7 linked regions of the Ovis aries genome follow. The protein of the gene in region 5 interacts with the protein of the main gene of each other region in a biochemical or structural test. Links are inferred from orthologs where the notes say so. Each region holds a gene or a part of one and is shown on either strand. Other genes may lie near its edges.

Region 1 (4,267 bases), on a different chromosome or scaffold from region 5:
TAACTTGCCTCACAGGAGCTGGCTCTGGGGTGCCCTTCCACTGGCATGGACCTGGGTTCTCGGAGGTGATCTATGGCCGCAAGGTCAGCACAGGGTGCAGGCTGAGACTCTGGGTTCACTGACCAAAATACAAAGCATAACTTTGCTGCTCCCCGCCAACCCCCAGCGCTGGTTCCTGTACCCTCCTGAGAAGACACCCGAATTCCACCCCAACAAAACCACACTGGCCTGGCTCCAGGACACATATCCAGCCCTGACACCATCTGCACGGCCCCTGGAATGCACTATCCAGGCTGGTGAGGTCAGTGGCTGGCAGACGGGCCAGGCTGAGCCAGGCCAAGGACCCCCATCCAACCCATCAACCCACATGTCCCCCCAACCCCTCGCCAGGTGCTGTATTTCCCGGACCGATGGTGGCATGCCACACTCAACCTCGACACCAGCGTCTTCATCTCTACCTTCCTCGGCTAGCCAAAGGGGGTGGCTGGCAAGCCCACCGCACACCAGCACACATCCCTGCAGTACTCACAGGTTTTATTACAGGGACAGAGGTGGTGGCAGCAGCCTCAGCCCAGCCCAGCCTCACCCCCCCTTTCCGGCCCAGAAGGAGGATGAGAGGCGTGTTGCCCAGCAGAACTGATGGGGGTGGGGGTGGGGACACCAGGGTAGGGATCCAGGGACACAAACTATATACAGAAAACTAGGGGCTGCTGCCCCAAGGCCCTCCTGAACTAGGGTACCGGGCAAGGCAGGTGGGTGGCCCATACACCCACCCTGCTCAGTAATCCTCTACCCAGCCATTCTCAGAGATGAAGGCATCGATGACCTCTTTCATGGCCAGGTTGGGGATGAGCTGTTCCTGGGTCAGGGGGCTCCGAGTCACAGGGTCAAAGTGGCCCACGCGCTGCAGTGACAACAGGGCAGAGTCAGGGGCTGCTCAGTGCGCGTGGGCCCTGCTGCCAGCGCCCACAGACCCTCACCTGCAGGTGCTCCTCGATGTCCTTACGGTCGTATGTGATGCCACTGGGCGTGATGCAGGGCTCCCGCATCAGCTCAAAGCTGATCTTGCCGCACAGGTAGTCAGGGATGTCTCGCTTCTGCAGCACACAGGGTTGGATCAGGTCAGGGGCTGGGAAGGGACACTGCTCTAGCTACCCACCGGCCCCAGAAGACGGGCAGCTCACCTTTCTCTTCTCGTCTACCTGGGAGAAGAGCTCGTCCATGTCTGCCAAGTACTTGTCCTGCAAAGAACCAAGCAGCCACTTGTGGGCCTGACACCCCTCTCCCCTCCCCAGACACCGAGACACAGACCCAGCAGGAGCCAGGGCACCTCACATCACAGCGCACGCACACACAGGACCCACACTCGGGCTGGGGCACCCTCACATGCTTGGCCTCAATGCAGGCCTGCTGGGCCCGTACGTGGCTGTCGTCCTCGTCACCCTCGTGGTTCCGCTGACACTCTTCCAGTTCCCTGGGGGTTGACCAAAAGGTGTTCAGAGATGGGTCTGGCCAGGGGCAGTCAGACTCCACTCCAGACTTAGGATCATTCAGGCCCCTTTCCCTCCATCTCCTGCGTGCCAGAATTGGCCTTCAATAAACACTTGTGTTCACACCTCAGAGTTAACCTAAGAGTGGTGACTCGAAGAGGGGGAGCCCACCTCTCACGCTCAGCCACAATGAGCCGTGTGAGGTAAGAGTGCAACTCATTTTCCTGGTGGATGCGTCGCTCCTCGATGCTGTTCCAGCGCTTCTTCTTTGCGATGCGCAGAGCACTGGGGATGTCATCCCCAAAGTTGAGCCGCTGCTCCTTGGCCAGGTTGTAGGCTGGGGGATAGAGCATTTGGGTAAACTTCAACCAGTCCACCCACCTGGTCCCAGGCACCCTGGAACCAGCTAGCCTGTAAGCCCACCTCGCTGCAGGTTGGCAATAGCCTCATCATAGCTTTCCATCTCCAGCTGGCATTGCCCCAGGAAGAAGTGTGCCTTCACAGACTGCCCGTCCAGCTCCAGGGCGCGCCGACAGTCGGCCAGGGCTTGCTCGTGCTGCTGCATCTTCAGGTAGCACAGTGCCCGGTTGGTGTAATACACGGCCACCAAGGGGTTCCGGGTCTGGGGACCAAGGCCGGGCCAGCCAGCATGAGGGAGTGAGCTCAGCCTGCCCACTCCGTCCCAACTTGAGGCCCGCGGTTGGAACCAAGACACTAGCATTTTCTCAGCTTCCAAGCCCCTGGGTTCTGAGGGAGGGTGAAGCCTACGTGAGCCCACTCTCTGGACTCCAATGAGTCTTGTGAAGGTAGTTTTCCCGGACTCATGGAAATCCCCAGCATCGCGTTTGACTCCTCAAGGGGCAGGGATGCCTGGTCCCCAGCCCAGTGGGCCTCGAACACCTACGGTTCCCACCCAGCACAGTTCTCTGGCAGCCCGCACTGGCTCGGGAAAGGCGCGGCCTTGGCCCCAGACCCCAAGCACCCACCCCCTCCCTCCGAAAGTCTGGCGGGCACGGCCTGACATGTTCTGAAGAGGGCGCGCGGCAGAAGCCGCAGCTCGGCCCCTCCCCTGGCTCGGACGCCAAGCCCCTCCCGCAGCGCGGGCGCACTCACGATGGCGCGGCCGTAGCAGGCCGCTGCCTCCGGGTACTTGCGGCCCACGAAGAGCCGGTTGCCCTGCTCCTTGAGCTCCTGTGCGCTCGGGCTCTTCTCGGGGCTGCCGCCGCCGGCGCCCAGCCGTGCGCCGCCCTCCTTCTCCTCCTTGCCCTTCATGGCGCCGCACGGCACCGCCTGGGCTCCGCTCCCAGGCTCCGCGCCCAGCCCGCCCTGCGCCCGCAGCCCGAGCCCGCGATCCGCTCGGGCTCGGTCCAGCGCTCCGCCACCGGAACTTCCGGTCTGCAGGTAGGCGGGGCCAGCGGAGCGGACCGCCGCACGGGTGGGCGGGGCCGTGCGTGCCCCCGGCGCGCTGTGGGGGCGGGGCCGGCAGGGAGGGGGACTCTGGCAACGCGACGCGGCGTCAAGGTTTGCGACGCGCTGGGTCACCCGGGCAGACGCCCGCCCGGCCGCGCTCCGACGCCCCGCCCCCGAGGCCTCGCCTGGCGCGGGGAGATGGCCGCGGCTGGCGGGCTCTGGAGCTGTGAGGACCCAAGCCGCTGGGCCGCCGTCTTGGAGTGCCGCGGGGCGGTGCTGCGGGCGCGCGCGGGCCCCCAGGGGCGGCTGGAAGCGCTGGACCGGTGGTAGGGCGGAGGGGGCAGGGGCGGGCGGGCCGAGCCCCGTGGCCCGGACTCCGTAGCGCCGCCTTCCCCCAGGTACCGAGAGGAGCTGCCCGCGGCCATCGGGGCCCGCGCGGAGAAGCACGTGACACTAGACGAGCTGCAGCGGCTGCTGGCGTGGAAACTGGCGGTAAGGCTTCCCACTTGGGGCGCGGCACAGCCACGTGGGTGGGGCTTCCCAGGGGGCTCACCCTCGTGGCAGTCTTGAGGGGCCTCCCAGCGAGGGCCGCCACCCGTGACACCCGACCCGACCTGGCCACAGAGGGGCCGCTTCCGACCGCGCCTGCAGCAACTCGTGGCCGCCAACTCTCCGGAGCTGGTGGTGCAGCGTTCGGCCGCCGCCTTCCGCCTCCTGCCAGACATGCACGCAGCGGTCATGGCTCTGTGCGCCCTCCGTGGCGTGGGCCCGGCTACCGCCTCGGGTTAGTCGGGAAAGCTGGACCACCCCCGGGCAGGGTCGCTGGCGGAACCTGGCCTGTTAGTGTCCTTATCCATGAAATGGTCCGACGGCCAGATACATGATACAGGAGAGTCGCTGGGGACAGCAGCCCCAGGCCCAGGCGGGGCTGAGTGCTGTCCATTCACTGCCCACAGCGGTACTGGCTGCCGGAGCTCCTGAGGCGGCAGCCTTCATGTCTGAGGAGGCAGTGGCCGCAGTGCCCGGCCTGCCCGCCCTGCAGTACACTGTCAAGCACTACCTGCTCTACCTGAGCCGGGTGCAGGAGCGTGCAACAGCCCTGAGCCAAGGTGCGGAGACCACGGGCGGCCCGGGTGGTCACGGAGAGCTCTCTCTGACCGTAGGAAGATCGGTATCTCCGAGCCCCAGACTCTCTCTGCCCTTCTCTAGGCAGTGCATCTGGGCTGTGGACCCCACACCACGTGGAGACGGCCCTGTGGACCTGGGCTGTAGGGCGGAAGATGTGCCCGGACCTGCTGCCCAACCTGGGTCCCAACCTGGTCCCCGCTGAGGACACCAGGCCAGCCAAGAAGCGCAGGACCCAGGCT
Region 2 (4,248 bases), on a different chromosome or scaffold from region 5:
TTAATGTCCCATCTGCTACTGAAAACCTTTTCAATTACTTGGCTAAAAAAAGAAAGCATTTTCCAGCCAGAATCCTCCACTCCAGCCATGTTCGTTTTACTGCTTCTACAATACGCTCATTCCCAAGTACAAGCAGTTCTCATACCAAGTCCACTGAACTTAATGCAGTCTCCCAGTTTTGGGAGTTTAACAAATATCATGCTCCTGTAACAAGCCTGTTTCTGATGGTACTTACACATTGGTTTTAAATTTATGTGGCGGGGGCATGGGATTTTTGGCTCGCGTTTCCAGCACTTCCATGTAATGAGGCTTCTTCTGGGGCCTACTCCAGAGGCCGGCCAAGTTCTCAGGACTCTGGTTTCCTTCTGAGTGGTGTTCAGTGGGATCCGCAATTGTGATCCTTTGCAATCTATCAATGAACAGGTTGTCTGAGCTGCCAGGATGATCCTCCACTTGACCTAAGGCACAATGCTGAGGGAGACCCTCACTAGCTTCAGATGAGGAAGGTGCTGGGGCTCTGCTGCTAGAAGGTGGGTGCTTGCTCACTGTGTGTTCAGCCTCAGTTGCCTCAGCATCACCTCCGCGAGTCAGATGTTCCAGTCCCTGTTGTCGTGAGGTTGTCTGAGATGATGTGATGTTAGCTACAGACGAACAGCCAGGAACAGGTGATGAAGTATCAAGTATCTGGTCAGAATTCTGGGCCTTATCTCTGCCCCCATCAACAACTGCAATCGCTTTTTGCCTCTCCTTACAGTCTAAGCTAACAGGATAAAAGAGTTCACTTCTTCCTCTAACTTCTTCACGTTCTGCAATGGCAGCTTTCAGTTTGGTGACAGCGTCTGAGATCTTTTTACCTTTGTCGGGCAATTTGCAAATGAATTTTCTACAAAAGGAAAAGAATAGGTATACGTTACATAGAGCCATGTTTTTAAACTTGAGATATACAAAGTAGTATTCTCAAAGGGAGAAAAATCGACCGTTAAGTCAAAAAACTGATTTCCAGCTGCCGGAAATAAGAGAATCATTACCCAAATACCCCTCAAAACAAGGGACTACAGGATGATTAGGGACTATGTCTTGTTTGTCTCATCTATTAACAATTAGAATTTCTGCAGAAGTATTTTAAGCATGATATTAATATAAGACATGCCCCAAATCAGTTTTTAAAGTGTGATTTCCAAGACCTTCCTGGTGAGGGGAGGTGGATGGATCTGCAAGGTCAGAACTATTTATAATAACTAAGGTACTATTTGTCATTTTCACTCTCTTTTCTTACCATGAGTACAGGGGAGTTTTCCAGAGGCAACATGATATGGATGATAGCATTGTTCTGATGGCTAATAGAATGCGTTTTTGTGTTCTTGTGTTTTAAAGATTCTCACTTGTAACTCCTAAGACAATGATAACTATCAGTCGATATAACACACATACAGCAAGAGCTCTTCAAAATGTTCAGTAAGTCTTCAGAGTTAAAGCGGTCCTGAGGCTAAAAAGTTAACTCACTCATTCTCACAGTCAAAATAGTTGTCTCTACCAGGAAATCCCCAAGTGATCATTTGCCACTTTGGCTAAGTGGCAAAAGTTCTTTTTCTGATTTCCTTTTCTTTAGCCATACAATAAATGTGGAGGGAAGGTTACAGCTCACACCCTCTATTCTTTATGACACTACATTCATTCTCCTAATTCTATTAACATTCCTCCCAGTTGAGAGGTCTGTATTTTCCCAACGTTCTCTTCTCTCTCCAGCCTCATGACCACTTCTCCAGCTTTCAATCAAATGTAATTAACTTTTCCATTAACTAAGCTCCAGTAAGTAAAATCAGTGTCAGACTATTACCCTCCTCCAGTTTTCCTACTTTTATTAATGGTGCTCCATACAGGTTGGAAACTTCAGCCATCTCTGTCAACCATATACTCAAATGATCCTAAGCCTGATCTAGTCTCCCCAATCCCACAGCTACCCTTCTAGTTCACTTTTTTAGAATCCCCTTATTGGAGAACTTCTCTGAAAATACCTCCTAGTCTCTTCTGCCTCTTATTCCTTCAAATTTTCCTGCACCAAACTGCTAAAATAAGCTTCCTAAAAAAATCATTATTTTTACACCTATTCTCTGCTAAAATCCATTAAGTCTAACAGCTAAGTGTGAACCAAACTTACTTTGCCTAAGAAGCCACTCTTTTACCCTACTCTTCCCACTTCCTACAGTTCCTGTAAAAAAATGGGATCTAGAGATGAAACTTACTAGGTGTTTGGGGCACTATTTGGCGGAAAGGGAGCGAAAGGACTGGGGATACAGACCCTCCCCTTGGAGGGCCGACACAGGCACTGAGTAAGTAAAATCAAAGAGGAGCTGAAACGCTGGAGAGCCAGAAACACGGGCGCCCGGCGCCCGGGCTGTACGCGGTAGCTCTGTGACTGTAGGCCGGCCACTAGCCCGTGGGCCTGGAACGGACCTAAGACAAGGTGACCTTCCAGGAAAGAGATCGGGATGGGGGCGGGGAGGGGCCCGTCCCAGGGTTCCCAACGCGAGGAACCCTGCGGTGACTTCGCGGGACCCAAGCTTACACGTTGCGCAAAAGTCTCTCCTGGCGCTTCAACATTTCCCGTAGCTCCGCCAAACTCCGCTGCCCCAAGTCCTCGGGAGTTTGGGGCTCGAAGCCGCGGGGAAGCGAGGACATTCTGCGGGGGCTGAGGCTGGCGAGGCGGTGGGCACTCGGCGTCCTCGGCAGCCCCCGTGGCTGGCGCCAGATCCGCGGCCGGCGGGGACTCCGGCGAACGAGCGGGAGTCGCCATTTTCCCGGAAGAACAAGTCTTCTTCTAGCCGAATCGAGCTTTATTGAAACGCCGGAAATAAACACGGACAGAGTTGAGGGAGTGGCGGCCGGGGCGGGAATCGCGGGGTGACGTCACGCGCCGGCGGGGCGCGCTTTCTAGTTGCTTATTCTTCCTGTGCCTTGGGTCTTGGCTTAAGTATTCAGAAAAAGTGAGTTCCTGGGGCCCTGTCCTGAAGGAGTCTGCTGAGTGAGGGAGGAGAGCAGACATTAATCAATTAACAAATGGAAGAATTGTAAGACGGCTATGGGCACCAAGGAAGGAATAACGAAGAAGTGAAAGACACGTGGAAACAGGAGTGATGAATTGGTTAACCATTAGTGAAGCTGGAGTATGTACCGGGCACGTGAAGCCCTGGCCTATGGCGTGGCCTTGCTAGTTCTGGGTTTAGTGAAGACCTCAAACATTAATGTTGGAGGATCATTCAGAACCATCAGCGTTTCTTAAGGCGGCTTTGTGGCATTTGAAGCAAGACTTTTCCTCGTTTTCAGGACTGCCTCAGGTATTGCAAGATATTTGGTGTCTATTTGATGTCTGGGTTTCTGCTCTCTAGTTGGTTTGGCATTCCTGAATCCTCCTAAAAATACAAAACGCACCCCCGCCCCCCGCCGCCCCAACACACACACTCCTGAGTCCTTGTAACAGTACAAAATGCATCTCCCCAACACACACACACACACACACACACACACACACACGATTTCAAAGGCCCACAAGAGGTGATGATAGTAGGAGGTGCTGCACAACAAACGGAGAACCTCTTTTTCACAATTACCCGTTTTGCCCTTGGAAAAACAAAGGCACAAAAACTGAAGTTTTCCCAGGGCACAAAACTAGTAAGTGAGAACATCATTGCTGTAGACACAAATGCCCAGGTGGTCTTTCTGCCACCCCAATTCAAAAATCTTGCAAAGAGCAAGAAAGTTTTTTAGGCTGTTGAGGAAAGCAGTGTAACTGCTAACTCTTCAGTGTAACACCTAACTCTTCTCTATAGTTCAGGTAAGAAAGCTGGATCCCAAAGAAAAAAGTAGGAAGCATGCTATAGTCTTAACAGACATCAGTTGTGAGGTTTGAAAGACCCTATAACCTCCAACCCCAGTCTCTCCCTTCTTTGATACGGAAAATTTACATTTGCTAGTCCTTTGTAAGGTGCTGTAACAAACAATTCCCTCCCAATCAGAGGGAAGCTCTAGATAAAATATGAGGCTATTTCAGGAAGTACAGCTGAAACTGTGTCTGTATCCTTACAATCTAGTCCATTCTGATCAGTTTAACATATCAAAAGTCTCAACATAAACTCTGCTTTGAAACAAGGATTTCAGTAACCTGCTCCATAGCTTTCTAAGTGAGAAATACTCAAGAAAGGCCCTTGTCAGGTATTTGTCCTGTGGCAAGCTCCCACAAGGCCTTCCTCA
Region 3 (3,776 bases), on a different chromosome or scaffold from region 5:
GTTGCCACACTGACCAGCCTGGGGCCCAGACGCTGCCCTGGAGCATCTGCCCTGGCAGCCTCTGTGGGCAGAGGTCAGGGCTGGGAGGGTGCTCAGTAGACAAGAGTACCCAGTGGGACTCACAACCTCAGTGGCCTGGATCCTTCCACCACCACACAGCGTCCTCAGTCATGGGTGGCCTGTGTGGTTCTGAGCTGTCACTCAAGAGTGCTAGGACGCATCCTGGATGAAGCATCTTAGTCTTCGCCCTCTCCACCCCTCAGTCCATTTGCCCCCAGATCAAGTGCCCCCTAGTCTCTGCCTCGTTCACTCCCCAGAGCTGCCAGGATGAGCAATCTTCCCAAGACACATCTCTCGGCTTCCACACCCACCCGCGTCCCCTGAAGCCAGCGTGCACTCTGGCCCTGTGATGCCCTGGGGCAGCAGGGCAGTGGCGGCGAGGTCCTGCCCATGAGGGGAGCTGGGGGCGGCGACTGCAGCCCTGGGAAAGAAGAGTTCACGCGGCAGAGTGCAACCCACATAGTTTATAGAAGAGCAGAGCAGGTGGCGACCTGGCCGATCCGACCAGAACAGAACCCGGAGCACGACTGTGCAGCGCTGGGGCGTGCGCCTCGCTGGAGTCAGTCCCACTCCCCATCGCCCTCAGGGTGCTCCTCGGGCAGCACCTCCAGGTCGTGGAAGTGGAAGTTGGCCATCATGTCCCGCACGGCCAGCATCAGTCTGTTCAGGCCCTGGTCACGGTGCAGACCCCCAGGCCCCCCATCCTCTGGTCGCTCCCCCTGTGGAAACGAGACTCGTCTGAGCCGGGCCTCCAGGCCCAATGCCCAATCTCAGGCTGGTGCCCCGTGGGCTGACGCCACATACCTCCACAGTGTAGTTGGGCAGCAGTGAGCGGAAGAAAAGGGCGATGGTGTTTCCGTGGCTGACGGGGCTGAGCCTGCAGGAGGGAGTCAGGATGTTCAGAAAGGCCCGGTGGGCTGGGAGGGCAGCCCCCATGGAGGCTGGGGCCTGAGGGGGAAGGGGATCTAGAGTGGGGTTGGCCCTTTGGAATGAGGCTGGTTGAGCAGAGTGCAAAGTGGGGCACTGCAGCCGAGCCCCACTGCATCTTGAGAAAAGCTATGTTTCCAAGTGTCCTTCCCTCCGAGTTGTGCAGTGAGAGATGATGCTAGCAAGTGCATCTCGGGGGCCTCCTGCACTTTCTGGGCGCCTGGAACCAGGATGGCTCCCAACTGTCCTTAGTGGGACCACACCCTACATGCCAGCTTGGTTTTGAGCCTTCTGATACTAATCATTAATAATTTTCATCTTAACCCACTGACATTTTAACTGGGGACTGTATTTCCTTATGAATGTGTACCCGAAGTTTTATACCTCAATGGAGGAAAAAAACACTTGGCTCTAGAAAATACGTCCGCCTGAGCCCTGGACATGAGAAAGTCTGTCTGGGTCTCCTAGGCTGGGGACTGTGAGGTGGGCTCTGCGTGAAGTGAAGCACTTACTCACTCAGTGCTAAAGGCCATCAGGAAAGGGAAAAAAGCCTGTCTCTGACATGATTCTGGAGCAGCCTGGATAATCGGGCCTTGGGGCCTCCTTCCCAGCCTCTGGCTGTGCTGGACACTTGTCCCTGGGGCCTGCACGGGTTGAAGCTCCCATGGGAAACCAGCTGCCTCTCATACCCCAGGCTCACGGCTATCTCCTCCAGGTTCTTACATCAGTTCTGACTACATTTACTCCTGGATTCAATACCCACATCCCATTGTATCCACCACCTGCTCCAGAATCTGACAGAGAAATGGCCTTGGGTGGACAGATATGTGAAAACACACGGCCTGCAGAGGCTGACTCTTTTTTCTGAGACCCTCCGAGCCCCAGCACTGACCTCGGAGCAGTGCAAGCCCAAAAGCAAAGCAAGAAGTACCTCTCTGGTCTGACGTAGGAGTAGATGGTGTCCAGTGGGGGTAGAGGGTCGAAGCCCAACACAGACTGTGTGGTCACATCCTACGGGAAGGGACAAAGAGCATGGTCTGCTTTCAACTGACCTAGCTCTGGACTGGACATTTCTGCTGGGGGCGGGCCGCATTCCCTGTCGGGGAAGTCTGGGGCAGGGGCTTCCTCCACCAGGACACTCAGCCTGTCTGCTCTGAGGATCGGGGTGAAGCCGGGACAAGCACATGTGTGGGGATCACAGGGCCTCTGCTCACAGGTGCTGTGACTCCCCCCAAATGTCAGGGCTGCTGGCTACAGGCCATGGGCCCTGAGCCGCCAGGTTACCACTCTGCACCCCATAAGATCACGGAAGCTGCAGGCATGGCTCTGCCTCTCAGGGGGCTCTGCATGGACCATGACCGGGGGGCAGAGCTGCTGGAGGGACAGAGCCTGCAGTCAGCCTGCTCCTTACCGGCGGCAGGGCAGCCACGGCCTCCTTGATCTCAGACAGGACCACGTGCCGGTGGATGTTCCTGGGCGCGCGCTGGTACAGCACCTTGCGCCTGGGGCCGGGAGATGAGGGTGGCGCTGCAGGAGGCCGCGGCCCCGCGAGACAGGCCGGCCCTCCACACTGCCCACTCCCACGCCCTGGCTCACCTGCTCTCACACGCCTCCACAGCGGGGTCCCCGGCGTCCACCGCCTGCAGAACCTTGTGCACGTTCTCCTCCAGCCAGCTCATGGTGGCCGGCTCCTTCCAGAGGAAGTGTGACCTCCCTAGGTACAGGCTCACTAGCTGGCTCAGAGCAGGTGGCTGGCTGTGGGCAGCGGGGACTGTGAGACCCCATGGACCGGCTCCACAGGCCCACTGGTGCTCTGGGGGTCCCAGGCTGTTGGCAACCTAGAGCAGAAGGAGGCTACCCCGAGGGGGCTGCTGCCCTGGGATGCGGCCCCCAGGGCAGGGCACCCTGGCATTTCCTTCTGTACAGCCAGCACCCTTACTAAGAACAAGTTCCCCAATGACAACATAAACACTCGGAGAACGTGTACACCTGTGGACATAGACCTGAGGACCCGCCTTGGTGTGCTGACCAGCCTTGAGGTGCCTGGCTCCCGTCACAGGTCTTTCTTCATTTATTATGAGAAATTTCAAAAGGTAGCAGGTGGCAACACAGGCATCCGGACCAGATGCACAGCTACAGCAACACTATCCGCCCAGCAGACACGCTGCAGTGGCCCCAGGCTGACACCTAGGTGGTTGCTCCCCAGGCCCCAGGCACCTCCAGTCTGTACCTGATCTCGGCGTCAGGTCCGAAGAAGTGGTGCGTGGCCACGGTGGCGTCGGGGCGCACACTGCAGTACTCGAGCAGGGGCATGAGCACTGTGGGGGAGCAGGGCGGCACCCTGAAGCGCTGAGGCCGAGGGGCTCACCCAGGACTCTGGAGCACGTGCGCTGGACGCTGTCATCAGAGACCCTCCCCCCGCACTCTCCCTGGGATGGACAACACTACAGCTGCCCACCTGCCCCATGGGGCTTCCCCATGAAGCGGGTGACCTCCCTGTGCAGGGGTCTCAACGGGGCAAGGTCAGTTCCCCTCAGACCCAGCCCAGCAGCCCCATGCGTGGATGGAGCCAGATCGAGATGAGCAGGAGACCCTGAGCAACCAGGCCACCTGCAGGCAGGCTCGCACCGGGGAGGGAGCCCCTCAGGAACTACACACAGCACAGGACCGCAACACCACCAGGGCCTGATAGGGCAGCGGGCCCTGTTCCCATCCACACAGCCAGACTTCAGGGGCCCATGGAAACCGGCAGGTCATCAGAGAGAACCCAGGGCGACCCCGACCCCGAG
Region 4 (3,121 bases), on a different chromosome or scaffold from region 5:
CCCGTGGGGTGGGCGGGGCCTGGGGGCCTGGGGCCCTGCCAGCCCCTCTGGACTGGCCGCACGCTGGCTTCCGGCCGCAGTGACTCTTGCTGCTGAGCGTCCGGGGTGGGTCCTTGTAGGTCAGCAGCTTGGAGAAGGAAACACGGAGACCACGGGCCAGCACCGAGGGCTCCTGTTCCAGTGGCCAGAGCGAGACCCGTGGCCTCAGCAGGTTCAGAGCAGGGAAGCACATCCCCCGCGGGAGGGCGACAGGAGCGGCAGGCCAAAAGTGATGCCTCTGCCCCTCGGCCCACCTGACGAGAGCTACAGGCTGTGTCCCCACAAAGTCTCTACCTCAAGTGTAGAGCCGGGAGCCCAGCGTCTCTCCCAGGCCAGCAGGCCAGGGAGTGGGCAGGGTGGGGTCAGCTGAGGGGACCGCCAGGCTCTCCCTGTCCCAGTGCCCAAGGTCCCCACCGTGCTGAGGCAGTGCTCGAGTCTGCTGGGCCGTTGGTGCCTCCCTCATGTGGCCACTCGCCTCGCCCTGGCAGCCCTGGGGTTCACTGTGGGCAGGTGAACGGGCAGACCGGTCTTTCCAGTCAGAGGCTGTTGAGTGGGCGGGGGCAGGGCCCGTGGAGGCCAAGTCCACGTAGGGCTAGACACCCGAAGAGCCTGGGAGAGGAGCACATCCCCAGGCCCGTGAGGCAGGAGCCTTGCCCCCGTCCCACTCTGCGAGCAGAGCCAGTTGTGATCGGAGGCTGCCCCCAGCTGCCCCCCAGGGTGGGTCAGATCAAGGTCTGCGAGCTCCAGGCATCCATCCAGAGTCTGACTCCTGCACGAGAGGCGCTGGTACAAGGGCCCCAGGGCACGAGGCAGAGGCCTGAGTGAGTGTGGGAAGGAGGTTCCCTTGTGATATCTGGGTTTCTCCCAGTTCTGCCCACCCCCAGCCGAGTGCTGTAGGTCTTCAGGCCCTAGACACTTGCCAGCAGCCTGTCTGTGGCTTCTTGGCCACAGCGCGGCATGCCCAGCAGCCCTCTGCCCCTGCAGGTGCAGGGGGCACCCAGAGACTGACCCGTGCCGTTGGAAAGTCACTGGCCATGGAGATGGTCCTCACTGGTGACCGGATCTCAGCCCAGGATGCCAAGCAAGCAGGTATAGGCTGGGGCCACCCCATGGAGTTGCCCCCTTGGGAGCTGAGTGGAGAGGGGAGGGCCTCACCCAGGGACTCCCACAGTGATTAGCACAGAGCCTTCTGGCGTCCTGCGAGTCCAGGATACTCACTGCCTGTGTCTGTTTGAAATACCACCACGCACAGCAGAGTGGCTCAGATGTCCACGTGGATTAAAGACTAACAGTGAGACCGTCGCACTTCTCAGAACCTACGTGAACGGTGGGGGGTCTCCAAGACCCTGCAGGCAGGCCCGCTCCGGGCCCCTCAGTGACCTTTGGCTGTAAGAGCCCCGTAACCTCGACAGCCAAGGGTGGCAGCCCCACCAGGGCTCGCTGAGGACCCTTGCCTGTGTCTGGTGGAGGCCTGCGCTGTGACAGAGAACTAGGACCGGCTGTTTCCACATGCTGCTTACCTTTTTGTGTTGTAGGTCTTGTAAGCAAAGTTTTTCCTGTTGAGACAGTGGTTGAAGAAGCCATCCAATGTGCAGAAAAAATTGCCAGCAACTCTAAGATTGTAACAGCGATGGCCAAAGAGTCGGTGAACGCAGGTAGGGGGGAGGGGAGGGAGGGGAGGCCGCACGGGGCAGTCGCAAGACTTGACAGTTGGGGTCTGAACTGTGCGTCTCGATTGATCTGGACAGAAATTGTTAGGGTTCTCAGTATTTCGATTTTGGCTCTTTGTTGCGTTCTAGTCTCTAGCTGCTTGCTCACAAATTCTGTTGAACTGGTCTGAGCTCCCCTTGGAAGCAGGACCTGAGAACTGGGCCAGCCTGGGGGCCAGTGCTGGCGAGCAAGGGGCAAGGGTCCCCTGCAGAACCTGGGAGGAAGAAGTTCCTCTCTGCTGCAGCTGCGCCTGACTGTCCAGGGGTGAGCCAGGGGCACCTCTGCCCTCCTGGCTGAGGGTCTGGGCTCAGCAGCCACTCTTGACCAGCAGAGCAGCTCTGACCACCCCTCTTGAGAATCGCTTACATGTTAACACGGTGATTTCGTCTCAGCATTGGAGTGAGGCTGTCCCTTTGCTTGTTCCGCTTGTGAGGGCAGTGAGTGTACCTGGAGGGCCACACTGCCCCAACCCTGGCTCTGCTCCCTGGGCTCACCCGTAAGTGCATGGAGCGTGTGGTGAGGCCCGGGGCACCTGTCACCGCCTGGCGCTGGTCACGGGACCTGGCTGCAGATGCTGCTGCAAAATCTTCCATGAGCCTCGCGCCCGCTCGCCTCTGCTGCAGACTTAACCTGGGCCTCGCTCCGTTCTGCCCACACCTCCGTTTTCGGTGTCGTCCGTACTTATTTGTCGTGCTTCTAGAGTCCACATTCCTGGGCTTCCTCAGCCCCCTTGTGACTGGACAGTTTTCCATCCCACCTTCCACGCCGGTCCCCACACAGGACACAGGGGAGCCCGGGAGCAGCTGTTCACTGGGCTGCAGCCGAGGCGACACCCTGGAGAGGGAGGCTACACTTTAATCCCATGACATCAGAGTGCACGTCGGTCCCCAGGCTGATTCCTGCCTCTGGAGAAAGTGCTGCACTCCCAAGTCTGTGTCTCAGCTCCTCACTGCAGGGTTTCCTTTTTCAGCTTTTGAAATGACATTAGCAGAGGGCGTTAAATTGGAGAAGAAGCTCTTCTACTCAACTTTTGCCACCGTGAGTAGCCTCGTTCATGCGGGAAATCACATGGTCCAGCCGTGAAAGTTCTGGAATTTGCTTGTAGATTTTATCACCATTTCTCTCTGGTCAGAGCTCATAGCCTCTCTGTAGCTGGGCAGTGACATTTGCAAATAAATGGGGCTTCCCTGGTGGCTCAGACCATAAAGAATCCACTGCAGTGCGGGAGACCTGGGTTCAGTCCCTGAGTCAGTAATATCCCCTGGAGAGGGGAATGGCAGCCCACTCCAGTATTCTTGCCTGGAGAATCCCAGGGACAGAGGAGCCTGGCAGGCTACAGTCCGTGGGGTCACACAGAGCTGAACACGACTGA
Region 5 (3,557 bases):
CCTTCCATTAGGTCTTTACTCCTCCCAAACCAAGTTAAAGTTCTATGCCAGTGGTTCTCAAGCTTGACTGGACAGTGAAATCAATCACCTGGAGAGCTTTAAAAAATATGATCCCTGTGTGCCATACCCACAGATTCTGACTTGTTGGTCTGTGTCTATTAAGAGCTCCCCAGGGGAGTTCAGTCACAGCCTGAATGGCAAAACCATGGTTCTTCTGGGCATTATCCCTGAGCAACAGCATATTCAAGGTCAGTGTCTGGATAAGCAGACTCTGAGTCCCGGTCCACAGCCACAGAGCCAGGGAATGTGGACGTTGGTAAGACTGAAACCACTGCTCCTCATGGGATAGTCTGTCCAAGACAGCTAGGTGCTGATCTGGCATTCACAGAATGACTCAAGCGGGTCTGTGGCCCACAGGAGAGGAGGCAGCCACGCTGTCCCAGTGTCCGGACCCTAAGCCAGCAGTTCTGCTGCAGGAAAGGGTCTTCAGTCAGGCTCCTCCAGCAAAGGGTGTCTCCCTCCCCCCACTCCCACCAGGGCATAGCCGCAGGGGCTTGGCCTGCAAGCAAATAGTGCCCTATGCAGAAAACGCAACTACCTGGAGGTCCATCTCAGCCAAGCTGATCAGCATCCGTGCTATAAACCTCTGCCAGAAGCCAACCGGAACGAAGCTCATCTTAAACACTCTCTGAATGGTGTTGGCTGTGGGGTGCCGCATGCCGTGGGTGTCCAGGCCGGGTTTGGACGGAAGCAGATGCGGCAGGAGGTAGCTGAAACACCAAAGAGGGCTGCTGAGCCAAGGCCTGAGCTCTGCTCTGGGGCTCTCACCCCTGCAGGCAGTCTGGCCTGGGGCGGGATCTGCCAAAGCAGCGCAGGTTGCCCGATGCCTTCCTCCCAGGGCCTTTGGAACCATTTTTAGAAAGAGGGGGTAGTTTATATGGTGAGCATAAATACTCCAAGAGAAAACGAAGATGGGCATAGCGAATCAGTTTGTCGAAGTCTCTAAGATAGAGACTAGAACACGGCGAGGGAAGACGTGAAAACATCTGTGGTCATAAACACAGACACAACAAATCACAGTCGGTTCTCTGTAAACCGGGTTGCGATTGGGGAGTTACTTAAAATTAACTTCGGATGGTGAAGGAAAAACAAATACAGCTGCACAGTTCCAAGGACAAGATATCGGGGGTCAGAGAAATGTCTTTGGCCTGAGAAGCTATTTATTGTTCTTGGCCAGTTGAGATAACACAATTACCTTGAAATTTCGAATGAGGCTCTTTGTGCAAAAGAATGATGTTTTATAAGAGCAGTCTTACTCATAAAAGGACTGAACTGCAGTGTCAGTGAGCTGTTCATGACTGTGATCACTTTTAATAAGCTGAAACGAGGGAGGTCCCTCCAATAATTCCCTGAAAACCAGCATCTTCTGTGTGTCCTGGAGGAGCTAAGATGGCCTTGGGCAGAGCCTTGGGTGTGTCCTTAAAGGCTTGCTTTCAGTTCTCTTAATCCTTTAAAATTCCATTAGTGTAGGTCCTATAAAATGTTTTTAGGACTTTCTGAAAGAAACCCCTGAAAACACTATGGAAGGAAAATTCAAAGACAGCCTGGGGGTGGAGTCCCCAGGGTGTCTTCAGCACACGGCCTAATCTCATTGCCATTCTGCTTCCTTAATGGCAGAAGAGTGGGGATGCCAGCCTTGCAGGGTTAGAGAAGAACGGACAGTGGCTGTGTAGGTGAGGTCCAAGGGGACAGATGGTGGCGTTTCGGTCCTTTTCAGCCATTATAGGTCTTGGCCCAAAGGACCTTGCCAATGAGCCCAGCTGGAGTGCCTCTCTCCACAGCCAGGAATTCTCTGGCACATGCCTTTTAGTTCTGAGAAGTCCTTTATCTCTCTGACCTCAAACAGGAGGCCCTTGTCAGTGCCCAGTGAGATCTAGCCTGCTTCTTCTGCCTATGCCATGCTCAGCTTGGGCACATGGGACCCCCTCCGTGGCTGTGCCCTGGGACTTCCCAATTTTTTCCATCTGGCCAGCGTGCCCGAGGGAGGGGGCACACTCTGTACCCAGGTGCCCCAGCACGTGGCACACACAGCAGGTGTTCAATATTTTTGAAGGTACGGATGACTTAAAAGCCAGAATGGCAAGTGAAGAGGTTTAAACTGATGGGCAAAGGAAGCCCCTCTCAATGTGAGCAGAGCCCTGGGCGAAACCACCAGCACTGGCTTTAGAGCGACCACTAACAGGGCAGGGCTGCCAAAGGTGTGGGCTTGGGGAACTAAGAGGGGAGTTCTTCACGTGCCTGCTGACTAGAAAGCCATGAAGACCTGGGCACTGCACGGGGTTTGCACTACGGCGGAGCCAGTCCATGATACGTCCCTGAGGCTGTCTTAGCAGTTGGGCCAGAGCCTTCCCCGAGTGCTGAGAGCCAGTGCATCCCCGCCTGGAAGAAGTACAAACACTCGAAAGTGTAGAGAGAGGTTTAGAAAGGCCCTGAAGGTTTTCCCAGGGACTGCAGGTTGAAAGGAGCAGCAAATGCCTTTGTTTTTGTTGATCATATAAAAGCTTATGGTGCAAAGAGCTGAAACTCCTTGTCTCTGGGGTACAAGGGACCCATTATATCTACACTTAGAGGTAGGTATAGTGCTCAGACACTCCTGACTTTAGATGGAACTAGACACCACTGACTATGAGTACTTAACGCAAAGATAGTAACAATAACAGCATTGATGATCCTGGATGTCCCTGAAGCTCAAAGGTGCAGGAGATACGTTTCATAGTTCACACGTACCCTCTGATTTAATCCTCACATTGACTATAATACTAGTAAGTGATAGTATTATTTCTATTTTACATATGAGGAAAAAAAGAGGCAGTTGCTTTTACAGAGTGAGAGTATTTCCGCATTCCTCTAACCTGCTGATAGAATAATCAGAAAACTGTCAAATTCCGGCAATGCTGTAAACTCACAGGCTGCTTTACCAGGGGCCAAAGTCAAGGACACACCTGGGCCAGGATGGGAGGGGTCATGTGGATTCTGAATTCCCCTTTGGGGTTTCTCTTTTTAGGACTCACTCTTGGTCCCCATGGGGCTGAAGCAGGAAGGACTGAGGCCCCTCCCACAGTCATTAGGCCAAGTGGATATATGGGTGGGAGCTCAGGAAGCGATGGCCCAGAGTTGGCTCCCAAGAGACCCAGACTGTGCTGATGGAATTGTTTGGCTGGCCATAGAGTGGCCAGGCCAGCCCCCGGAGGGTCCCGAGGGTGTTCCCCCAGAGCTCTGGGGTTGAGGGGCCGGGTGGTGCTGTGTTCTATGACAGGCATCAAAAGGGTCTGGGGATTTGGCATCCTGGCCACTGCCTCATGGCCAACATCAGCATCAGACCCAGGAAACAGCTGAGACTGAAGTAGAGAAAGGAGGCCCTGAGAACCAAGCCAGAGTGCCGTTAGACTGAACCCACATGCCCCTCGAGTCCCTGCCCTCCCTGCATTTTGAAACTGGGCTGGATAGTTAGCATGCACACTTTTGTACCTACTCCATTTTTACTCATCAAATAACCA
Region 6 (4,011 bases), on a different chromosome or scaffold from region 5:
GAGCGTGCCCATGCCCCGCGGAGGCTCGCCCAAGTGGGGAGGCCTGGGGCCCCTAAGCCGCGTAGGCCATTTGTGGGAAAATAAAACCTGCACTCCGGTGGTGCGGGCTCAGTGCTGGCCTGCGGTCCTGGCTGATGAGGCACAGCAAGGGGAGGGCGGCGCTGGGGAGGGCAGGGCCATCTGCCACGTAACAAGCGCAGAGACAGGTGACCTCTGCTGCCCCATCCCTGGCCCTGTGGCAGGACCACCTGTGCACAGAGCCCCTCCCGACAAAGCTACCTAGCAAGTGAAGCACGCCCCAGAAAATAAGAGGAACAAGGTTCAGGTGTTTTATTACAGAGCCAGTGCTCCTGCCCACACGTGCCAGCGCTGCACCAAGGCTCCAAGGCGGGTGCCCAGGCTGGGGCAGGAACCTGCTGTCCTTACCAGCCAGGCTGGTACCACGGAAACCTCAGCATCACTGAGAAGTCTTTTCATACCTAGGAGACCGCCAGTGGCGACCCTCCTGACCCGGCGGCTCCACTCTCACTGCACACTCAGCCGGTGCTGCCAGACCGTCTCCTGGGGGTGCCCGCGGAGGGTGCTGCCAACAGAGGGGGAGGCTCTCAAAGCAGGCCAGAGCAGAGCCACCCAGACCAGGAGAGGGGCGGAAGGCCTGTCACTCTCCATGGAGAAACCACCGGATCAGGCTCATGGCCCAGTGTCCACAGCGGGCAGGGCCACAGTACCCACAGGGAGGTGGCCGCACCCTGCCTGGGAGGGGCAGGCGGCCTGGGCTCCAATCTCAAGGGCCCAGAGCACCAATCAGGCTCAGCCCCAGCCCTCAGTCCCTGGGAAGCAGGGAAAGGACACCTGCGTCTACCCCAGGCCTATAGCCAGGACCGAAGAACACACAGCTTCCCTGTCCCTCCAGCAGCTGCATCTACACCTGGGCCCCATGGCCCTGCCTGTCCACAGGGACCAAACCCAAGGAGGTACCCGCAAGTAAAGCTAACAACCAAAATTCACAGTGTCACACCTAGCTCAGGCTGGGGCTGGCTCAGGGCAAGATGCAGGAAAGACTCAACCCAGTGGTGGGCCTCCTCAAGAATAAAACTGCCCTGAGAACCAACCAGCTTCTCCAGGGCCCTGTGCGTGCACCAACAGGCGTCAGACAGCCCCTGGGCCCCCCGCCCCCTCCAGTCCACAGTGAGATGTGTGGAATGTGCCTCAGCATGGGTGTGCCCAGGCCACCCCCCAGTAACTGCTCAGGGCACTGGAAATGACAAGGTGCCCACTCCCCCAGTCAGGTGGGGCAAACGTAGCACATGCTAGAAGACAGGCCTGCAGGAACACAGCCCACAGGCAGACAGAACTGGGGAAGGGGGGCAGGGGCAAAAGGGTACAGGAGGCACCTCAGGAGGAAGACGGGAGCAGCTTCTCCAGGGCTTTCTTCTGCTTCTCCGTGGCGGCAGCCAGGGCCTCAGCCAGCTTCTCCTCCGGCATCATGTTGAGCACCTTGAGGGCGAACAGGAGCTGGTACTTGGCTGTGCTGATGAAGGCGTTGCTCAGGAAGTTGGGAAAGCCCCCGACTCGGTCCTTCTGGGTGTACAGAGGGACACGGACGAGTCCCAGTACCTGCGGACAGGGGATGAGGGTTGGAACCAGGGCCCTGGGGACGGCAGGGCCGTTGCAGGAGGGGCTGATGAGCCACTAGGCTGGGGGTAAGGCAGCCAGGTTGAACCAGGACATAATGTGAGGCCCTGGCGGGGGTGGGGGGCAACCGGCTCCCTCGGGAAAATACAGCTCCTCCTTTCCCCCAGCGAGTTTCAACCCCTGCCCCCATGCACGTACCCCGCCCCCAAGTCCTAGCCCTCAGTCCCTGGCGAAGCCCCCAGTCCAGACCCCATGCTCCCTCTTCCACCTGATGAATCCCAAACACCCCGTGTCACCCCCAGGCCTTCTAGGCGATGAAACCCACAACTAGAAAGAACCGTCGCGCCCCCACCACGAGAACCCAGACTTCTGTACTCTGCAGTTCACACCCCCCGGGGCAGGCACCGCCCCTTCCCAGCCTCCCACCGATCCCACGCCCCCACTCCCAGGATTGGCAATGGCAGGCAGCAAGGCAGATGGAACACAGCCCCGAGGGCGCCCCGGCCCGCCTCCCACCCTGCCCGGCCCCTGGTCCCTCTCCCCACCCCGAAGCTGAGACAGCGTGACCCTCCCAGCCCGGCCAGGGAACCCTCAGGGGGACGTGTTACCCATCGGTGCCTTCCGCGGGGCCAGAGCCAAACCCCGGGGCGGGGGGCGGGGCCCGGGGCCCGGGCGGCGGCCCCACCTCCAGGCCGTGGTCCCGCGAGTGCACCGCGCTGATCTCCACGGCGTGCAGCTGCTCCAGCGTCAGCTGCCGCGCGTACAGGTGCGCCACGACGCGGTGCGGGCCCTCGGTCAGGTGCGAGCTCAAGTAGTCAGCCTCCGTGAGGCGGAGGCAGCCCAGGCCCAGGCCCAGCACCCGGTTCAGTCCGTCCTCCAGCGACCAGAAGCGCCGGTCCACGAAGCCCCCGGGGAAGCCCAGCAGCCCGTCGAAGCGCATCTGCATCTGCAACGGAGCGCCGGGTCACGGGCGCGGGTCCGAGCGGCGGTGCCCCGTTCCCCGGCCGCCCGCACGCCCGCGTCCTCACCAGCACCGAGAAGCGCATGGGGATGCGGCCGAAGAGCTGACCCGGGTTCGCGGCGTACAGCATAGCGTGGCACGAGTGGCTCCAGCCGGGGCCCAGGCGCATCGCTTCCACCCGACTGATCCGCTTCAGCTCCGGCACCGCCGCCGCCGACATCTTGGCACCAGCACCCGCGGCCCGGACGCCGCCCCTTAAGTGCGTGCGCGGCCCACCCCCGCTCGGCGCGGCCAATCCGCGGGCAGCCGCGCCCCGGCCCCCGCCCCTCCACCAATCGCCGGCGCGCGTCGCGGCACAGCCGTAGCGGCGCCCCGGCGCATCGTTGCGAGGCGCAAGGAGCGTGCGCGGGGGCGCGGCGGCGCGCGCCCCAGCCACCGCCCAATAGCCGCGCGCCCAGAGCGTGCCCCGCCCACGGCCCGAGCGGACCAAGGGTCCCGGAGGCCCGGAGGCCCGACGGCCCGAGCGCACCCGAGTGGAGCGCGGACTCCCGGTCCCCGGCGCGGGGGCGGCGCCCGTGGAGTCCAGGCTCAGCCTGCCCGCCCCAAGAGGGAAGAAGTCTCAAGATCACTTTGCGCCGGGGCTTCCCCCAGCGCCCCTGGCAGCGCCGCCCGGCGGGGCTCCCGCCGCCAGCTCCAGGCTCGACCAGCGCCGGCCTCTGGGGCCTCAGCTGAGCCCTGGCATCACAGGGCGAATCCTCCCCTGCAGGCATGCCAGCCCCATCGTTCTGCCACCGGCTGAGCACTGGAATCCAAGGTTGCTGCCGTCGGCCTGCCTCTAGAAGAGCAGGACAGCGGGGGCCATAGTCCCAGTCCACTCTTAGCGCTGAACTGGGTGGGGGTGCATGCTGAGGAGCCCTGGGGCTCCCTAAGCCCCGCCTGCTGGGGCAGAAGTGATTGAAGTCCCCGGGCAGGGAGCTTCCCAGCTTGGTAGGGTAAGCACACTGAAACTGCCCACCCTGGCCAGGCACCATAGTTCCTGTTTGCAGGAGTTGTTTTAGGACAGGAGGTCCTGGTAAGGAACAGGAAACTAATAAGCCACCACCAACTGGGAGAGTTCGGGAAAGGTCAAAAAGTGACACCACATGTCCAACCACCTCTCAGAATCCATCTCACTGGCATCCATCTTGGCTGAACAAGGCCTGTGCTACCAGGAAGGACCCTGAGTCAGAACAATTGGCCAAAGACAACCTGGAACCTAATCCCATCACCGTAAAACGGAGACTGTGAGCCTCAAGGCAGAGCAGTCCATCCTGGTCTTCCCTTACCCTCCTGCTCTCCGCCCAGGTGTCCCTTCCCAGTAAAGTCTCTTGCTTTGTCAGCAGGAGTGTCTCCTCAGACTATTCATTGCCCAGTGT
Region 7 (3,997 bases), on a different chromosome or scaffold from region 5:
ATACTGCAGGGGGTGGGGCAGGGCAGAGGCAGCCGTGAGTGTGACCCCCCACATCCGGGGAGCCCCTGCCTCCCATCCCCTTCCCAGGGGGTTCTCCAGAGGGGTGGGCGGGCGCTGAAGAGGAAGAGAGGGGGTGGGTTCCCACAGGACTCTCTAGGCTGGTTTCCATGGAAACAGGAGGATGGGGGTGTGTGTCTTGGGACTGGTGTCAAACTGGAGGTTCCTGGGTATCCCTGGAGATGGGTCGGAGTGGGGGAACTGTGGTCGGTGGTCCAGGGACCAGCGCCTCCTTGTCCACACTGGGGAGCATGAGCCTCTGGGGGGGTCCCATGTCTCCCCAGCTGCTGGGACAGGCTGAAGCCTGGCCGCCAACATCTCTACACCGGAGGCCTGGGCGGCCGCACCTCCACCATAGCCATGAGGTTGCAGAAGCAGGCCTCCTCGTCGATGGTCAGGCGGCCGTCGCGGTGCAGCACGCGGTAGTGGATGACGTCGCTGCCGAAGCTCACGCACAGCACGTAGTCACCCGGGTGCCGCGCGGACTCCCGCACCAAGAACAGCCCGTCCTCGGGCGGCTGCAGCTGCTGCACCGCCTCCTGGCCCGAGATCTTCCCGTGGAACCACCTGCGGCCGGTGGAAGGGCGGGCTGGGTGGGACTGGCCGGGCCCTGCTGACCCCACCCACGTCCCAGGGGCGCTTCCCCACGACATACGGCATGAGGCTGAGCTTGGGGTCCGCCGAGAGGGCCTCGCGCTCCCGCAGCGCCCCAGCCGCCAGCAGCCCCTCCTGCCCGCTGGCGTGGTGCTTGGCACGGTACCAGCTCTTGTTCTGCCGGGAGGGAGCCAGGGGTCAGTGGGAGGAGATGTTTCCTGGAGGAGCACCCCCCTCTCTCCAAGCACATTCCCCCCTACTCACTTCGCAGGCCTCAAGGATGGTGACCACGTCGCCCTTGCAGAAGGCCAGCTCCCCGGGTTTGGGGCGCGTGTGCTCACACTTGGTGATGCACTGGGTGCCAGGGGCCCAGCGCCTCTGGGGGGTAGTGGCGAGAGTGGGAAAAGGGTCATGAGAGAGATGGTGGAGGTGGGGGGTGGGGCCCAAAAGAGAGAGAAAAACTGTATTGAGGCAGAGACCCAGAACAGACCACAGGAGAAAGGAGATGGGGGTGGGGGGTGCGCAGAGCACCCAGTAGGGGAAACGGAGTCACAAACAGAGGGACCCCCCGGGGCAGAAGATGGGAGGAAAGAGTGGGAAAAAACACCAAGTGACCGAAAAAGACCTGCGGACACTGCCTAAGGGGACACGGGTCAGATGGCCCCCCACCCCCACCCTCCAGCCCCGTGGAGCTGAGGCCCTGTGGACGGAGGAGAGGAGGGGCCTAGGCCCAGGCACCCAGTTGGGAGTACTCACTGTCGGCATCCTGGCTGAGATGGGTGAGGGGTGCCAGGCGTGGAGGAAGCGAGGGCTTCCCTGGGGAGGGGCAGAGACCAGCTGGAGAGCTCAAGATTCAAGCCAGGCTGGGGGCCCAGGGGCCATGACTATAGCTTCCAGCCTGGACCAGGTGGAGGCGACAGTCGGGCGGGCTCCCCCAAACCCCCAGGGGTTGTGGGGGGCCCAAGGGCTGGATCCCCAAGCCCCTTAGGGGAGGTGGTCTTTCCCTGGGAGAGTTCCTTAGCATGGAGCCTGGCTGCGCCGTCATCCCCAAAGGGAAACAGAGGCACAGGGCAGGCTCAGAGTGAGTGGCCAGGGGCTGGCTCAGGCCCCAGCAGCCCACACTGGGGGCGCTTGGAGCCACTAAACGGAGCCTGGTTCTTCCTCTTTTCTGGTAAAGTAGGCAGGGGTACATGAGGAAACAGAGGATGATTCAAGGTCATTCCCAAGAATCTCTGACCCTGGCGGGGGTGAGGCCCGGCAGTGCCGCCCTGCTGGGCTCCTCTGGCTGCCGGCTGGGTCTCTGATCTGACTCCCCCCCACACCGCTCCCCCCTACTCCCCAACCGAGGACAGAGGACAGAAACAAAGTCCCGCACAGTTGCTGGGGTGGGGGCATTTCTGTCCTCTGCTTTCCCCACGGATCCCACCAGGTGGCGAGAGCAGTGGGACAGGTGGGGAGGAGTGAGTCTCCACCCTAGAAATCCCCAGCCCTCTGTGTACTCACACGCATACTGATCCATGTACACACGAGAACACACAGAAACACACAGGGCTTGGACACAGGTGGACACAGGCACGCGGGTATGCAAGCAAAAGCAGTTTCTCCTAGAGACAGTTGTGCACACACGTCTCACGTGTGAACACACGCACAGACATTCGGAAACGTGTGTGCCGCCCCCCCCAACCCACACTTGAACACCTGGGCGCCACACGCTGGGCCACCCGGGCACGCAGGGCTACACGCAGGGCCGCGCACACGCAGCGCAGAGACACGCGCGCACATCCCTCCACGTGGACGCGCGGATACACACACCCAGGGGTTGCAGACGCGCATACCCGCACCCACAAAAATACCACCCCACCCGACTCCTGGGCGCATCCAACCATACCCGCCCCAGCCGCGTACCGGCCGCACGCCCCGGACGCGGGCGCTCGCACACTGGCCCCTCCCTCGTTCGCCCAGCATCCCCCTACCCGCTGGCCCTTGGGGCCCCCCCCACTGTCCTACGGTCTTTCCCCACTATCCCCTCCGGCGCCCTCACCTGTTCAGGGGTCGCCCCTGGGCCGCACTCCGTGTCCGCCCCCAGGAGGGCCCCCGCGCGCCGGCTGCGCACCCCGAGGCGGCCCCGGCTGCACAACTTGGAGCAAGTTGCTGCGTTTCCTCATTTTGGGGGGGAAGGGCTGGAATCGGGGTGGGGGGAGCGGGAGGCGCGGCAGCTTGAGCGGCCCCCGCGGGTCCTAGCGCCGGCCGCACTGCGGTCTGCTCCGCGCGCCGCCGCCACCGGCGGCCCCTCCCCGCCCCGCCTCCGGGGCCCCCGGCGCCTCCCGCGCGGCGCTGTCGAGATCCACGCCACTTCCCGGCCTGGCGCCGCGGGGCGCGCAACCCGCGCGTTCCGGGAATCCACGCCTCCCGGAGAGAGGACAGCGCTGGCACAGGGAGGGGAAGGAGAGAGCTTCCCGTCTGGGCAGGTAAGTAAGTCTCAGAGTCCAGACAACTCAGTGGACCCTTCTGACTCCAACGCCCTTAGCCAACTATAACAAGAGTCTTATTTCAGTACCTGGCCCTAGGAAAGAGCTGTTGGTGCCTGGCACAAAGAAAGCCCTCAAAATGTCAACCACCATGAATATTATCATCATCCTTGAAATTAAGGGAGAATTGAGACTAAAGGGGAAAACATCACCTGGAACTGGAAGCCTCCTGGCAGAGCAACACTGGGCCTCCCCAAGGCCAACCCAGCTCGAGCCTCGGTTTCCTCCTCTGTAGGGTCAGGCAGCACCAGCTTCCAGCTCAGAAGGGAGTTCCGTGAGCATCTGAAGGCCTGGGGGCCCAGCCCTTGCCTTTCCTCTGTGAGCTCACTTCAAATACTTTCTAATGGATGAATGAATGAGTCTGTGAGGACAAGGATGAAGCTGACCTTGGGAGGGTGATGCACCAAGATGCCCAGAATTTAATTTTCTGGTACCCCCAAAGTCTAAGTGTCTGTGCACCAAGATGTCGTGTGATTTCTGGGAATAGAGACCAATGAGAAGAATCAGGGGCTTCCCCAGTGGCTCAGAGGATAAATAATCTGCCTGCAAAGCGGGAGACACAGGAGAAGTGGGTTCAATACCTGGGTCAGGAAGATTCCCTGGAGGAAGAAATAGCAACCCCCTCCAGTATTCTTGCCTGAAAAATCCCACGGACAGAGGAGCCTGATGGGCTACAGTTCATGGGGTGGCAAAGAGTTGGATACGACGAGCAGCTAAGTGCAAGACAAGAATTAAAGATATTCAATATCGTGCAATATTATGCACCAAAAACTAGGAAACTGTGTATAAGAAAATGCTAAAGTCTCTAGTTGTCAGAA

What was found.
Region 1: the proteins of LRRK1 (region 5) and STUB1 form a complex in vitro, tested with the Homo sapiens proteins (2 studies listed by BioGRID and IntAct, with this or other methods). The link is inferred for Ovis aries from reciprocal best matches to the Homo sapiens genes LRRK1 and STUB1.
Region 2: the proteins of LRRK1 (region 5) and POLR2M form a complex in vitro, tested with the Homo sapiens proteins (2 studies listed by BioGRID and IntAct, with this or other methods). The link is inferred for Ovis aries from reciprocal best matches to the Homo sapiens genes LRRK1 and POLR2M.
Region 3: the proteins of LRRK1 (region 5) and TCF25 form a complex in vitro, tested with the Homo sapiens proteins (2 studies listed by BioGRID and IntAct, with this or other methods). The link is inferred for Ovis aries from reciprocal best matches to the Homo sapiens genes LRRK1 and TCF25.
Region 4: the proteins of LRRK1 (region 5) and ECHS1 form a complex in vitro, tested with the Homo sapiens proteins (2 studies listed by BioGRID and IntAct, with this or other methods). The link is inferred for Ovis aries from reciprocal best matches to the Homo sapiens genes LRRK1 and ECHS1.
Region 6: the proteins of LRRK1 (region 5) and NUDT16L1 form a complex in vitro, tested with the Homo sapiens proteins (2 studies listed by BioGRID and IntAct, with this or other methods). The link is inferred for Ovis aries from reciprocal best matches to the Homo sapiens genes LRRK1 and NUDT16L1.
Region 7: the proteins of LRRK1 (region 5) and MATK form a complex in vitro, tested with the Homo sapiens proteins (2 studies listed by BioGRID and IntAct, with this or other methods). The link is inferred for Ovis aries from reciprocal best matches to the Homo sapiens genes LRRK1 and MATK.

Annotation. Positions count from the first base shown.
Region 1 is NC_056077.1:1,117,768-1,122,034, reverse strand, and holds STUB1 (E3 ubiquitin-protein ligase CHIP), read right to left. Parts: upstream 2,763-4,267; coding exon 2,604-2,762; exon of another isoform or gene 2,598-2,603; intron 2,113-2,597; coding exon 1,914-2,112; intron 1,828-1,913; coding exon 1,662-1,827; intron 1,621-1,661; exon of another isoform or gene 1,475-1,620; coding exon 1,387-1,474; exon of another isoform or gene 1,242-1,386; coding exon 1,185-1,241; exon of another isoform or gene 1,098-1,184; coding exon 981-1,097; exon of another isoform or gene 905-980; coding exon 779-904; 3' UTR 518-778; downstream 1-517. Other genes in the region: JMJD8 (jmjC domain-containing protein 8), read left to right, coding at 16-83, 167-301, 391-471; uncharacterized protein LOC101103616, read left to right, coding at 2,761-2,891, 3,299-3,392, 3,525-3,684, 3,857-4,009, 4,110-4,267. UniProt on the Homo sapiens protein: E3 ubiquitin-protein ligase which targets misfolded chaperone substrates towards proteasomal degradation.
Region 2 is NC_056060.1:50,699,610-50,703,857, forward strand, and holds the start of POLR2M (protein GRINL1A), read right to left. Parts: upstream 2,814-4,248; 5' UTR 2,680-2,813; coding exon 2,567-2,679; intron 884-2,566; coding exon 236-883; intron 1-235.
Region 3 is NC_056067.1:14,244,896-14,248,671, reverse strand, and holds the end of TCF25 (ribosome quality control complex subunit TCF25), read right to left. Parts: intron 3,306-3,776; coding exon 3,218-3,305; intron 2,743-3,217; coding exon 2,584-2,742; intron 2,490-2,583; coding exon 2,399-2,489; intron 1,999-2,398; coding exon 1,919-1,998; intron 938-1,918; coding exon 865-937; intron 780-864; coding exon 621-779; 3' UTR 510-620; downstream 1-509. UniProt on the Homo sapiens protein: Component of the ribosome quality control complex (RQC), a ribosome-associated complex that mediates ubiquitination and extraction of incompletely synthesized nascent chains for proteasomal degradation.
Region 4 is NC_056075.1:51,217,329-51,220,449, reverse strand, and holds part of ECHS1 (enoyl-CoA hydratase, mitochondrial), read left to right. Parts: intron 1-1,023; coding exon 1,024-1,128; intron 1,129-1,574; coding exon 1,575-1,879; 3' UTR 1,880-2,719; coding exon of another isoform or gene 2,720-2,787; 3' UTR 2,788-3,121. UniProt on the Homo sapiens protein: Converts unsaturated trans-2-enoyl-CoA species ((2E)-enoyl-CoA) to the corresponding (3S)-3hydroxyacyl-CoA species through addition of a water molecule to the double bond.
Region 5 is NC_056071.1:4,897,958-4,901,514, forward strand, and holds part of LRRK1 (leucine-rich repeat serine/threonine-protein kinase 1), read right to left. Parts: intron 771-3,557; coding exon 599-770; intron 1-598.
Region 6 is NC_056077.1:4,365,112-4,369,122, reverse strand, and holds NUDT16L1 (tudor-interacting repair regulator protein), read right to left. Parts: upstream 2,829-4,011; 5' UTR 2,817-2,828; coding exon 2,664-2,816; intron 2,582-2,663; coding exon 2,321-2,581; coding exon of another isoform or gene 2,244-2,320; intron 1,618-2,243; coding exon 1,396-1,617; 3' UTR 1,395-1,395; intron 584-1,394; 3' UTR 307-583; downstream 1-306. UniProt on the Homo sapiens protein: Key regulator of TP53BP1 required to stabilize TP53BP1 and regulate its recruitment to chromatin.
Region 7 is NC_056058.1:17,992,011-17,996,007, reverse strand, and holds the start of MATK (megakaryocyte-associated tyrosine-protein kinase), read right to left. Parts: upstream 2,820-3,997; 5' UTR 2,693-2,819; intron 2,256-2,692; 5' UTR 2,161-2,255; coding exon 2,155-2,160; intron 1,550-2,154; exon of another isoform or gene 1,468-1,549; coding exon 1,408-1,467; intron 1,030-1,407; coding exon 916-1,029; intron 829-915; coding exon 713-828; intron 625-712; coding exon 405-624; intron 4-404; coding exon 1-3.